Linked DNA regions of Diceros bicornis minor. The protein of the gene in region 1 interacts with the protein of each later gene in a biochemical or structural test. Links are inferred from orthologs where the notes say so. Each region holds a gene or a part of one and is shown on either strand. Other genes may lie near its edges. The genes, in order: GNAZ and RGS20.

Region 1 (7,205 bases):
TCAGCAGGTGCTGGTAAATACTGGCCAAAGGAATGAGTGAATGAACGAACATGTGAGGTTCTGTTTCCTCCAGCTCCGTACGGAGGGCTGACGTCTCCTGCCACGTCCTCCAGGATCCATCAGATAGTCCCTGTGAATTAGTCCTGTCAGCTCACTAGGTGCCTCCCCCACCAGCATGGATATGTGGACGGGGCCAAATGTGTGGTGAGGACCCACAAGCGGACCAGGCAGGGCAGTCTTGGCTCTGTTTACGGATGAGGACGAGGAGGCCCAGAGAGGACGGGGCTGGGCCAGGGAGTGGCAGGGCCTGGGCCTGACCCAAGTCTTCTGATGCCTGGACTGGAGCTCTCCCCTCTCCTCCGTGGGGAGTCTGGGCCCTCCACACCCCTCCCCAGTCTGCAGGAGCTATGTCAGCCACCGCTCTGGGCTCCTGCCTGGGCTGATCCTCCGTGTCTGCCCTGCTGCCTCTGTCCATTCCCTCTGCCCTCCTTCCTGCCAACAGCGCTTGCAACCCGGCCCTGGAGGCTCTGTGACCCCAGGTTTCCTTCCTGGGGGCTGCAGGGGAGCAGTGTGCTAATCTGCCTCTTCCAGAGTTCCTGCAAGCCCAGCCACAGTCAGCGGCAGCGAGAATGCCCTAGAGCCGCAAAGCCTTCAGGTCTTCTGACGGATAGCAGGGGATAGTCCAGGGCTGCCTCGTCCTCATGTCCTTGGAAGGAAGGCGTGGCACACACTGTCATCGTGTGTGCACGTGAGACAACCACTTGGCTAGGTCGAGGCCACGGAGGCCACACCCTGAGTCTGAAGCCATCCATCCCACCAGCCTCTCTGCAGGGGCCCTGGGCAGCCTTGCCAAGTCTGCCTGGTTAGCCAAAAGTTCCTGGAATCGCCCTAGAAGCTCCTGAGGGCCAGACCAATGCACTTTTCCTCCTAGGACTCCAGGAAACAGAAGAGCTGAGAAGCTGGGGTCAGAAGGAGGAATTCATCCCCTGTGTCCCAAATCTAGAGCCCCACGGCAGGCCCCTGGAGCAGGGCCAGGCGACAAGCACAAGAGTGAAGCAGCTCCATCCTGCTCGGCGTGGACTGCACCCCCATGAGGGCAGGCGGGCGGCCCTGCTCTCGCTGCAGCAACCTGGGCCTCAGCCAGAAGCCGAAAGTGGGTGTGTGTTCGGGGACGGGGCAGGGAGGGGGCATGCCACACAGATGAGTAACAAACAGCCCCTTCAAAAACATCCCCAGGAGCAAGCAAGCAAGCACATCTAGAGTAGAAGGTGACACCGGCTTATTCACCTCCTGTCTCAGAAAATCAACGTCTGTGCGAGGAACACACAAGACGAGTGTTAAACCAAACGCCAATGTCTCACCGTCCCTGGAGCACGAGGAACGCTGGAGGCACAGCACTTCATCCACACGCAGCCAGGCCCTCGCACCATCAGCCCCCACACGGAGACTCCCAGGCCTCCACGGTTACTGCTGGAAAACGTCCACCCCACCAAGGGACAGAGTCATCAGCTAAACATCGTCCTCCATCCTGGCTAGGAAGGAGGCTGGGTGGTTGGTTACCCAGTACCCCTGGCCCTGTCCCCAGGGACTACCTGGAGGAGCAGTCCTAGGCTGCAAGGAGCCCTCCCAGGTCTCTGAAGCTCTTCCCCAGGCCCACCCCAGGTCACAGAGCTGCTCCCTTTTACAGATGAGGAGATTGCAGCCTCTAGTGAAACAGCCACAGCTAACAAAAAATGGGTGGTTTGGTTTCCCCAGCTCCCTCATCCTCTGCCGCACCCACCCACCTTTCCCGCCATGCCTCCTATGCTCTTAAGTAGACCCCACGCTCCTGCCAGACCCAACTGCCCTAGTGCCCTCTCTGTGCCTCACTCCATTTTCTCCCCTCTGCCCGCAACGCCCACCCCAACTGTGCCCGTGTCCTTCAAGCTCCAGTTCAAATGCCACTTTGCCCACAGGCCCCAGCCCAGGTCACCTCTCTGAGGTCCCTCCCGAGGCCCCTGCACCCACACTCAGGGTTTGGTTATCTGAGCAGAGGTTTCTCCCCTGGAGGGTGGTGACTCAGTCCCCAGAGGGCAGGCCCAGTCCACTCCCACCCCAGCGCCAGGCCCTGGGGGAGCGAGCGCTCAGTAAATATTTGCTTAATCGAATTTGGCCCAGGAGCCTCCTCCAGACAGAGCGGAAGGCAGCGGGACTCGGTCCCCAGGGCAGGGAAATCACTTGGCTGCCTCCCTAAGCCGGGCAGAGCTCGCCTACCAGGCGGGTCCCTCCATGCTAAGACGCTGGACTCCAGGGAGCCCTGTGTCGGCACCGCCTTCCATCCTCTTCTCTCTGGTAGCAGAGCACCCCAATTCGGGGCCTAGGCGGATTCCTGCCGTCATCGCCCAGAGAGGCTCAGCACCGCCCTGACGGCAGAGCCCCCTCGGATCTCCCGCAGGATACGGAGCCCCGGCCCCGAGGCCCTCACACCCCTCCCCCCAACCTCCCCCACCGCCTTTTAAGGGAAAAAAAATATTGAGCCGGGAACATATCACAATCGCAGCGGGTCGATACTCATCTCTTGTTCTAAATGCCTCCAAGGAACCTGCTCGCTGCAAGAGCGATGACCGAAAACTGCGAGCCGTCCGTCTACGGGCCCAAGCCTCCGGAGCCCTCGCCTCCGTTTTAGCCAAAGCCCCGCGTCGGCGCCCCCGCTGTCCAGGTCGCCTCCTTCCCGCTCCCCCGGGAGGGAGACCCCGCCTCGGGGCCCTCCCGCAGCTCGCCCGGCCCGGCCCGGCCCGGCTCCGCACCAGCAGCTCCTCTGGCCCCTGCCCACCCTCCCGGCCTGCGGCCGCCCCCTCCCGCCGACTCCTCCGCCCGGCGGCGCCCCCCGCCAGCACCTGCCGGGCCGCGGCCGCCCCCTGCCCACCTCGCGGGCGTGCCTGCCCTCACCGCCCCCACCCCGGCCAGGCATCGCTGCCGCTGAGCCCGGGCGGATCCCTGGCACAAAGGCCCGGGCGGGGCCCGGTGGGGGTGGGGTGGGCGCCCCGCCCGCGCCCCGGGTCCCCGGAGGCTCGGCCGCGCGCCCTGGCCGCAGGTCCGCTCACTCACCTCCGGGCCGCGGCGCGGTGCTCCGGCCGAGCTGCTCCAGGCGGGAGGGGCGAGGCGGCGGGCGCGGGCCCAGGAGCCCTCGTTCCGCACGACGCGGGCGGCGGCGCCCGCGCGGGGACGTGACCGGACCGCGGGCGGCGCACACGCTCCGGCCGGCCTGCCTCCGCCCGCTCTCCCGCGTCGCCCGCCGCCCGCCCGCGGGTCCGCCCGCCCCGCGCCGCGCGGCCGCCGGCAGGGGGCGGAGCCGCGAGCGCAGCGCGTTGCCAGGCCAACCGCGGGCGGGGGTGCCGCGCGCCTGCCGGTGACCACGCGCCGGGCGCCACCGCCCCGCCACGAGCGCCGGCTCGCCGCCCATTGGGCACGAGTGGCTGACGGACGCGCCCGCGTCCAATAGCGACGGGCAGGGGCGGGGCCGCGGCTCCGCTCTCACCGCAGTCCCGCGCGCGCTGCCCGCGCCGGCGTCCCCGGAACCCGGCTGCGCCCCGGCCAGGGTGCCGGCCCTGCGAGACCGCCTTTTGCAGGCTGGGAGACCGAGCCTGAGATCGGCGGATGCCCCGGCCCCTGCTTGCCCCTGTCCCCGTCCGAATTCGAACCCAGCTCGGCTGTTTCTGAACTCCGCGACCTTGGGCAACCGACTGACCTCTCTGAGCCTGTTTTGCAAAGTGGGGCTGGTGGCACCTGCTTCCCTGAATTGTCGCGACAATCCACTAGAACGTGTGAAAGGGCTATGCAACCTCTAAAGGTTTACACCGGTGAGGTTTGTGCGGTGATGGGAGGGGACGTTAATCATCTTCGTTGCTCAAGCCCCAGCCTGTAGGGGCTCTTCAGAGTCCCTGGCAATCCTGGCCACGGATGTTTGCCTTGGAAGGAGGGGAGGGAGAAGGGCCCGGGGGCTGTCACCCAGACCAGAGAGGCGGGAGGGAGCCAGCTCGGTTAAGGCCAGGATCCCATAGGTGCCTTGGGGAAGCTCATAGAAGGCATCGGATGCTCAGCAAAAGGCACCTGAGGGCAGTCTGGCAAATTCTGCTTTCAGTTTCAGGGGGAGCCCACCTGTGGGCCTCAGAGCCACTAGCCGCTCACTCCTATACTTAAAGGAGTCAGTCCAGAGAGCCAGACATTAATGCCACTCGCTGTCTTTTGCATGGTTGTAACCTGAAGCGTTGTGCATCCTGGAGCATCCCAGCAAAATACAGGTGTTCCTGGCCCACACCTTCCTTATCACTTTACACCGTCGTGGTCCTGTTACAAGGATCACTCCACTCGTGGGCAGAAGCACTGGAACTGTCCATTGGCAGAGGTAGATGGAGTGGTGGCCCCAGCTCAGATCTGTGGTCACAAGGCAGGAGCGGGGGTCCGGCTCTGCCAGCTGGACGCTGTGACATGTCGTCATCCCATAACCTCTCTGGGAATGTTTCCTCTGCTGTGAAATGGAGGCCACTGTGCTACATACCCCCCACCTGGGAAGGTGCTGCCTAAACTGTCAGGGACAGGAAGGATGCTGGGGATGGGCATCTTGAGGTGAGCCTAGACTTAGACCTGGTACAGTGCTCTCTGGAAGTGGCCAACAGTTGAGGGGCTCCCCGGTGTAAATGCCCTCCAAGCCACCAGGCTGGGTTAGGCTGGATGTCTGCCGGGAGGACCACACAGAGGCAACAGCTGTGATACCAGGAAGATGAGGAGCACAGGCCCTGCCCTGCGGTGGGTCAGAGGCGAGAGGTGGCTGGGGGTGAAGCACAGGCCCAGCTCTGCTGCCATCACCTGTATACGCTTGGGTGACTTATTTCACCTGGCTGAGCCTCAGTTTCCTCTTCTGTCAAAAGGGGATGATAATAGACTGTCCCTCGAGGGTGATTCTGAGTGGAAATGCACCTTGACACACGTTCAGAGACGGGCGAGGGCAGTTCCTGCTGCAGGACTAGGGGTCAGAATTGAGCTGTTTGCAGGGGCAAAATAGGTGCAAACATGGGCTGACCCCTACAGCAGTCCAGGTGTGAGATCAGAGGCTAGCTCATGGAGGGGCCCAATGGGGCTGGCTGCTGCCCCCTTACCAGACCTTGGTGGCCACCTTAAAGTGACAGGTCACCTGGCGTCAACCATTGGTTGTAGTCCTTCACACAACAATCATTTACTGACGGCCTTCTCTGTGCTGGGCACAGTGCTAGGATTTAGACAGACTCAACCCTGCCTGCTAGACCCTCCTGTCTGAGGGGCAGGGCAGACGGCAGGCCAATATTCCACCATTACAGTTGTGTGAGCCCTGATGGAGGAGACTGGCCAGGACTCTGGGGTACGTGGCAGGGGGAGAACTGGGCACTGGGACAGCGGGAAGGAGGTGGCCCATGACTTGAGGCAGGAGAGAAGCGCATTCCAAGGTGGGGAAGGCGCTGGACGTGAAGGAGCATGAGGCCTGGAAGAACCCAGAGAAGACCAGCATGGCTTGAGCCAGCGAGCAGGCGAGGAGGACAAAACGCGATGCTGAGGTGGGGCTGCGAACAGTCACCTCGGGCAGCTGGCCCTCGTGTAGTACTGGGGACGTTGGCCTAAGAACCACTGGAGAGTTTAAGATTAGGTTTTTACACTTGAGAAGGACGGCAAGTCGTTTCATATTTCTGTTGGCATGGTCCCACAGTGCGGTGTCCTAGTATGCAGAATCAAATAACAAAAACGTCAACTAGTCAGCCAGAGAAAAGGAGCCAGCAGAGAAGGCGGTCCATGAGGCCGAGTTCAGCATAGGGCCGTGGGATCACCGGGCAACCGTGTGTGTCAGGAGACGGCTGGGTGGCACTGGGCTGGCCCTGGCAAAGGGGGAAGAGTGGGGACCAAGGAGGGGGCCCACGTGAGAGGAGACACTGGAGGAAGGGATGGCACTTGCTAAGCAGATGGAGGAGCGGTTGGAGAGGTGACCAGGAAACCAGGGAGTGGAGGGTTCCAGAGCCACGGGAAGAGAGTGTCTCTAGAAGGAAGACACAGTCAGCCATGTCACGCACTATTGGGAGGCCGAGTAAGATGAGGACAGAGAAGTGTCCCCTGGAGCAAAGGCAGGCACGGGGGAGGGGTCAGTGTGCCAGGAATTCAGGGCATGGGGACCACACGAGGCTAAAGCTGAACAGGTGGGTCACAATAAGGTGCAGTGGGCCCAGGGCGCCCGGCGTGGGTACGTAGTCCCCAGGGCTGGGGCCAGTGCTCTGTCCTCCGCCCTTACTGGCCAGGAGAACAGGGCCGGGAGACAAGAGCTGGGGGTCTGTGGTAGAAAGAGGAAGGGGCCCTGCTGATTGAACTCACCTGGCACCTCACCAACCCAGCAGAGACAGCTGGCCAAGGAGTGGCCCCTTGGGGTAGTGTTGACCCCACCCCCAGCAAATGACCAAACCTCAGCCACAGGGCATTCCATGCCATGGGCATCGTCACCCCTCAAATCCAGCAGAGCTTCCTGGCTCATCATCCAACTCATCCTGGCACACCAGCCACGCTGGATCACTGGATTGAGGGCCCTCCCCAAACATCCCCGTGCCTCATGCCTCTGCCCCTCTGCCCCATGCGGACCAGCTCCCCTGGGCCTCCCTTCTTGCACATCCGGAGCCCCAAGGACCCTGGAATTCCTCATCTACACATGTCAACCTGTGCTGGAATGACCAGTCCCCACTGACCCTCCCACTTGTCTCTTCACTCCCCCAGGGTGGGGGTGGTGGTGTCTCGCTCATCTCTGGACCTCTGGAAGGGTTCGCTCCTGGCTGACTCTCCTCTGTGCGCCACCTCTCCCGCTCCCTCAACCCAACCCCTACCGACCGATTCTCAGGCTGTGGCCGGGCTGTGGGTTTCTCTGGTTTGTTTCCTTGGGGTCTGTGCGCACTGCCCCCATTGCCCCCCACTTGAACAAGCCATTCAGATCTGGGTTAGTTATAAATAGCCGGGCCTGCAAATCTCCTTTTAGCTGAAAAGAAGCAAAATGAACGAGCAGAGAGGCACACCCGGCACGCGTTTTATTTTTAATTCTCTCCCTCTGTCTCAAAATGAACCCATGTCCTGGTGCTCAGCATTTCTAGGAGCAGAGGCCCAAGACAAATGCCTTGCAAACAGAACCTGGGGAGCTGAGGGCCCTGGCATTGCGCCCGTCTGCT
Region 2 (7,379 bases), on another chromosome or scaffold:
CTCTACTTAAAAATTGTGTCAAGAGTCTTAAATGTGTGTTCATAGCCATCAGATGGTCTCACTGAGCTCAGAGAAACAGAACAAGGTGAACAACGAGATGAACAGAAGAAACCTTCCACAAACCTGACATCATGACCTGTGAGTTTCACAGTGAGACAAGAACAACGTAACCCTGATGGTGACTGAGAGTGGCACTAGTGCCAAATTTTTGGTCAATCGCTCATGTGTGAGAGGATGGCCAAATGGGGAAATTGTTAAAGTCATTAAGGAGGCCATTAAACTGAGATGGCTCTAATGCCTTGGTCGCCTATGTAACCCAGGGTCAATTCCTGAAATGCACTTATATCCTAGAAAATGAAACTAAAACAATCACAAACAGCCAACTAACCTTTCCCAAATTAGGTAACTGCTTAAGCTATAGCCAATCAAATAATTTCCTTGCTTTGCTTCCACATCAGCTCTATAAAAGCTTTTTCCTGAGCTCCTGTTAATGGAGCACTTTCAGTTTGGTGCTGTCCAATTCAAATTGATGTTTGCTCAAATAAACTCTTGAAATTTTTAATGTGCCTCAGTTTATCTTTTAACACTATGATCTGAATGTTTGTGTTGCTCTCAAAATACATGTATTGAAGCCCTAAACCCAAGTGTGATGGTAGTTGGAAATTGGGCCTTTAGAAGGTAATTAGGGTTAGATGAGGTCATGAGGGTGGGCCCTCAGGATTAGTGCCCTTGTAAGAAGAGACACCAGAGAGGGAGCCCTCTCTCTCAACATGCACAAGCACTGAGGAAAAGCCATGCAAGAATACAGCAAGAAGGTGGCTGTCTGCAAGCCGGGAAGAGAGCTCTCACCAGAACCTGACCATGCTGGCACCCCGTCCTCAGACTGTTAGCCTCCAGGACTGTGAGAAAATAAATTTCTGTTGGTTAACCCACACAGTCTATGGTATTTTGTTACGGCAGCCCGAGCAGACTATTACACAATATAAATGAAGCCACTTAATCACACCACCAGAACAAAGTATGAATAAACATCATTGACAACAGAGAGAGACTAAAACTCCTGTGAACAGGTACAAAATGCGAGAGCAAGCATACTTAATCCCTCTCTTTCTCATTCAGTTGGAGACACATTTATTGAGTATCCGAAGTTTGACAGTCTCTCCAATTTTCTTTGAGGTTTCTTTGGAGTTGTTCAGAGTCAAGTTGAGGAGCACAGATATAGTCAGATAATTTCAGCAAGCGCAGTAGCAGGGATGCATCTAGAACTACTCTGTGCACCTGGAAGAGGAAGCTGATACTGCTGCTCACTGAGAGAAGGGGGAGGTCAGGGGGCTCCATTTAAGGACTGACACTTGCACTAGTCCTAAGCAAGGCAGGCACATTAGGAAACAGGCAAAGGGCATTCCAGGCAAAAGGGAGAAAGATTGATTCTTAGATTCTGAATGAGTCCCTTTCCTTCTTTCTACTCTTAACCCACTTGAAAATGTTGTCATTTTTAACATGAAATAGTTTACTTCATGAGAAGTAAAATGCAGAGCATGTTTCTCTGCATAACCAAGCAAAGCTGGTGATCAGGTCTGCTCTGCACATCATCTTGCCTGTACCTCCCCAGCCGCAGACCTGTCATTATGCGGCAGGTCTCATCAGGTTCCAGAAAGAACTCCTCTTTTCAGAGGGGTGTGGAACAAAATCAGGAACAAGGCAGTGAGCAGAACGGGCTGCTACACCGGTCAGCTGGGATGGCTTTCTTCAAGCATCATGGTGTTACCAGATATCTATCTGGAACTAGGGAGAAGAGAAGAGGCAGGTGGTCCCTGCTGCTGTTTCCCTTACCTGATCTCTTCAACACGTCTATCGGTGACCTCAGCTGGCATAATTACATGTTATAGCATATGCAAGGTATCCTCTGAGCTGTTTCGTAATTTCTTCATAATTGAGCTCCAGATTTACTACTTACAAATGACATAAGGGAAATAAGATAAAACTGTATTGACAGGAGAAAAATAATAGTAATAATTAATGTATTCATCAAATTAAGTCAATAGCCCATATCTTTAACAATTTTTTCACTAGAATAGGGTCATATTATATGTTTGGAGAAAATATACCACCTAGAAGTGATCAGAGGTGGAAAAATTATGAAATTTCAAAGGAATTTCTTAAGTTTGAAATATATGAAATGTTACAAACATCATCATTTCCAATATTTTCTTCCCAACTGTGAATTGAACTTACATTTGCCCATAGAAATAGAGGAGTTCTAGTCAAAGGAAATCCTATTCTAAAAAGATGATTTATCATGAAAAACATACTGCCTCCTAGTGAAGATTATGCTACCAGCCTACCTTCAGTTGTACAAGGACTTTAAGAAGCTTTTGCAGCTCATTGAATAAATTATTAGTTTAATGAAAGAACAGTTTTTCCATTCTCTTTCATACAATAGGCTTTTGCAAGAAACTGACCTACTTTGGCCTAACAGTAACTCTAAGTATTGACACCATGATGCTTTTACAAAGTACTCTAACCAACTATCCTAACAGCTTCTGACTGCACTGGTATTGCCAAAGCAGGTCTAACAGCAATCACACAAGATTTCACTCACGCACTGTACCAGTGCCCTAAGTTCTTATGGCAACCAAGCTTCAGGATTTTCCAGGTAAGTTCATTGTATTACACTGCACCATTGGTGCCATAAGGACAATCTCCCACAATCTGAAAATTTAAAAATATGGCCACTGTAGTAGACAGCTTCTAAAATGGCTCTTAATGATCCCCACCTGCCAATAATTCATGCCCTTACCAAATCCTCTCTCCTTGAATGTGGGCTAGACCTACTGACTTTCTTCTAAGGAACAGAATACGGCAAAAGGGATGTCACTTCCGAGATCAGGTTACAAAAGACTGTGACTTCTGTCTTGCTTGCATTCTCTCAGGTTCTCTCACTTGTTCACTGTGATGAAGCAGGCTGCCAAGTTGTGAGCTGCTCCAAGGAGAGGCCAACATGGCAGGAGCTGAGGGCTGCCTCCAGTCAACAACCAGCAAGGAATTGACATCCTTAGTCCAATAGCTTTTCAATCCTGGCAACAACTATGTAAGTGAGCCTTGAGTGAGTTCGACTTTTGTCGACTCAAGTGTCAACTTTTGTGGACTTTTGTGCCTGGCTTCTCTCACTTAGCATAGAGTTTTCAAGGTTCATCCATGTGGTAGCATATGTCAGAATTTCATTCCATTTTATTGCTGAATAGTATTCCATTGGATGGACATACCTCCCTTTGTCTATCTATTCACCGTTTGATGGGAATGTGGGTTTTTTCCAATTATTGGACATTTGTGTGCAAGTCTTTTTGTGCTCACGTGTTTCACTTCTCTTGCTTTGGTAGATATCTAAGAGGGAATTGCTGGATCATGTGGTAACTCTATGTTAAACATTCTAAGGAACTGCCAAACTGTTTTCCAAACTGGTTGCCACATTTTACATTCCCACCAGCTTTGTATGAGAGTCCCAATTTCTCCACATACTCACTAACACATGTTATTGACTGTCTTTTTGAGTAAAGCCAACCTACCAGGTGTGAAGTGGTATCCCATTGTGATTTTGACTTGCCTTTCCCTAATGGCTAACAATGTTGAGCATCTTTCCAGGGGTTTATTGGCCATTTGTATATCTCCTTTGGAGAAATACCTATTTAGACACCTCACTCATTTTTAGTTGGGTTTTTTTCATTTTCAGTTGTAAGAGCTCTTCATATATTCCGGGTACAAGTCATTTATTACGTGCATAAGATTTGTAATATTTTCTCATAAGAAAATCACTTTAATTCACTCTACGTGGCATAAATAGAAAGTGTAATAATTCTTGGGCTTAAGTTTGGGTACGAGTTTAGCATACGTTTATAGCTATGAAGCTGACTGTTATTAAAGTGACCTCTTAAGAAACCTAGACAGATTAGGGGGACCATCTGCCTCTTGATTGCATAGCCCAAGATTGTCAAGCACTATTCCCTATCACACAACTAGTAATACAGAATTTTGCAGAACAATCTATTTCCTTTATCATTATAGACTAGACAATACATCATTTCTTTCAGTTTTGATTTAGGATTAGAATTAGGAATACATTTCTACCTGTAGAGGGCAGTCATAATACACCCAGACAATCAGAATAGGAGGCTCTACCTGGAATAGAACACTAAGGATCTGCGGATAAGCTGCTGATCCAGAAAATAGATAATTCTTTTGCTTCCATTGGTGTAACTTTCCAGGGAGGCCCTCAGCAGACTGAGAGATGGCCCAGCATCAGCCAAAAGAAGAGAAATAGAGTGGACCCGGAGCCAGTGTTAAAATCAGGCCACAGGACTTATTCGGAGCCCTTATTATGCCCCAGCTTTCCCAAGAGAACCAAGAGTGCCTCCAGAAACATTTCTCCAGGCCATCTATGTGGAAGCAATTTCTGCCCCTGCCTCAGGCTGAGGGATATAATGCAAACATTCAGCAAGCCATGGAAAATGAAGGTGGGACCAAGGCTGGGCATGATGTCCAGGTAAGACAATCTCCACAATCCATGATCCTTTCTTGACAAGGAAAGGGCTTATGCAGAACGAATATAAACCATAAGCAAGCTTTAGTGCCATTGCTCACTTTATCTCAGTGACGATATCTCAAAAATGTTTTCAAACCAACGCCAAGAGAAAAACTAGAACCTTGATGATAATTACCTGATCTGTCTAGCTTTCTCCAACCTATAAAGCTTCTCTTTACCAATACAAATGACTATTGAATTATTTTTGTTTGTTTCAGGGGGTAGTGTTTTAAAAAGCAGACGACCTAGACATAGATTTTTGTGGCAATTGCTAGTAACCGTTGAATGTTTTTCTCTGATATAAAGATTATATCCCATATAATAATGAAAGAAAAATTATAGACTGCTTTTTATAAAAATTGGTAGAGAAAAAAATTGATAAATGAATACAGAAACATAAGAACATTGAGCTCAAGGGGTGTTTTTCCTAAATTCATGGTTTCCTAAGGTAGATTTCCTAAGCATGAATTTCCACCGCTAGATAATATTATTTTCCCAAAGAGTGACAATTTTCCTGCTCAGTGTTGTGTGTATCTTTGCAGAAAGTACAGTTTAAGTCTGTAAATCCTCTTAACTATTAATAGAACCATCTCTTAAAGGTTATTTGGTGTGGAGGGGGACAGGCATGTGTTAATGTCTAACAAATAATGAGCAGAGCTTAGAATTAAATGCTGCAAAATCATACTACAGCAAACCCATCCAACTGCTGAAACACTAGAAAATTCATCTGTCCCTGTGCCACAGCTCATATCCTGATAATAATCATCATTTATTTGGAGACTTTCTATTTAATTCTCTGGATCTGCCCCTTTCCTGATGTTATTTTAATCAATTGGCATAGGAGAAAAAAAGTTTTAAAAAAAGTCATTAGGAAGCTTTTTCTGTAGAAATGTATTCACCTTTGTTTCTAAGCTTTCAGAGATCTGTGAACAAATAATACATGAATTTCCACACTCCCTATTATCACCTAAGCACTAGGTCTTTAGGAAACTAGAATGAAATGGGATATCGTGGCCAGAAGTCCTTAATTAATGGGAATCTAAATCTAGGCGACACGTGCAAAAGAGATTTCTAGAAGGTAGAGTTTGGAGGCTCCTCTGAGGAAACAGACAGCAACAACAATATACATATGTTGTGTGTGTGTGTAAATATGTATAATATATGGACACACACGTATAATTTCAAAGTCAAACTGTCTTGAGGGTATGCTTTAAGCAGAACCATAGGCAAATGAATTGGAAAGGTATTTAAGAATCAGCAGTACCTTTCCATAGCGTCCTGGAATCAACTGCACTGCGGGCGCCAGGCGATCCAAGCTGCCATCCTGACCTCATTAACCCAAGTACACCAGCTCCAGCCTGTGCAGCAGCGGGCGTGGGCAGTCAGGAGAGATCCAGCTGGGATGCTACTGGCCTCTCCACTCAGTTTTGCCTTTTTAAAAAATCTTCCTATATTGCATCTGAATATAGATGCACATGTCCCTCTTATAGCAAGTATATGAATGGCAGAACTCAGTTCATTTTAATTCTACAAATGTCCTTGAGTCCTTGCTATCCCCAAAGCCTTGAGCTAGATTTTGAGAAAGAGAAAGATATGCTCCTCTCTCTCTACAGACTCACGATATATTGGGAAAGACAAACATATCAACATATTATCATCATATCATATTATCATATTATTGGCATGACTCATGTCAATGTAATTCAATCAGTAAGGCAGTAAGAAACTAGGGATGGAATATAATCAATATGAAGTAAAACAACTGAAAAAGGCCTAATGAAAATGTGAAAGAGGTGAAATTTAAGGTAGACATGAAATAGGAATGGAGGAATGTAGAGAAGTAGACAGGGAGAACATGGGCTAAAATGTGTCTAGACATCCAAGGCCCGTGTTACAACCCTCCAAGATCCTCACAACCTAAGCCTAACACCACATAAAATATTAAACCAAAATGGATCATGGCCTTAAATGTACAACAATATGTAGAACTATAAAACTGCTAGAAAAAAATGATAGAAAATCTTTGCGACGTAAGTCAAGGCAGAGTTCTCAAACATCAAAAGCATAATCCCTAAAGGAAAAATTGATAAATTGGGCCTCATCAAAAATAAAAACTTTTGCTCTGCCAAAGACCCTATTTAAGAGGATAAAAAGACAAGATACAGACTTTGAAAAAACACTTGCAAACCCCATATCTGACAAAGGCTTTGTATCTAGAATATATAAAGAACTCTCAAAAGTCAAGAGTAAAAAGCCAAACAATCCAAATAAAAATATGGGCAAAAGACATGAACAGACATTTCATCACAGAGCACATACAGCTGGCAAACAAACACATGAAAAGATAGTCAACATCGTTAGCCATTAGGGAAATGCAAATTAAAACCACGATGAAATATCACTACACACCTATCAGAATGGCTAAAGTGAAAAACAGTGACAAAACAAAATGGTGACAAGGATGTAGAGAAACTAGATCACTCATACATTGCTGGTAGGAATGCAAAATGGTACAGCCAGTCTGGAAACAATTTGGCAGTTTCTTATAAAACTAAACATGCAACTATCATATGGCCCAGCAATTTCACTATTGGGCATTTATCCCAGAGAAATGAAAACCTATGTTCACGCACACTGCATATGGTAATGTTCATAGCAGCTTTATTCATAACAGCCAAAAACTAGAACCAACCCAGGGCCGGCCCCGTGGCTTAGCGGTTAAGTGCGTGCGCTCCGATGCAGGCTGCCCGGGTTCGGATCCCGGGCGCGCACAGACGCACTGCTTCTCCGGCCATCCTGA

Evidence for each region.
Region 2: the proteins of GNAZ (region 1) and RGS20 form a complex in vitro, tested with the Homo sapiens proteins (2 studies listed by BioGRID, with this or other methods). The link is inferred for Diceros bicornis minor from reciprocal best matches to the Homo sapiens genes GNAZ and RGS20.

The regions. Positions count from the first base shown.
Region 1 is NC_080774.1:29,399,103-29,406,307, forward strand, and holds the start of GNAZ (guanine nucleotide-binding protein G(z) subunit alpha), read right to left. Parts: upstream 3,245-7,205; 5' UTR 3,088-3,244; intron 1-3,087. Other genes in the region: RSPH14 (radial spoke head 14 homolog), read left to right, coding at 3,815-3,839. UniProt on the Homo sapiens protein: Guanine nucleotide-binding proteins (G proteins) are involved as modulators or transducers in various transmembrane signaling systems.
Region 2 is NC_080772.1:7,745,697-7,753,075, forward strand, and holds the start of RGS20 (regulator of G-protein signaling 20), read left to right. Parts: upstream 1-4,375; coding exon 4,376-4,534; coding exon of another isoform or gene 4,535-4,540; intron 4,541-7,379. UniProt on the Homo sapiens protein: Inhibits signal transduction by increasing the GTPase activity of G protein alpha subunits thereby driving them into their inactive GDP-bound form.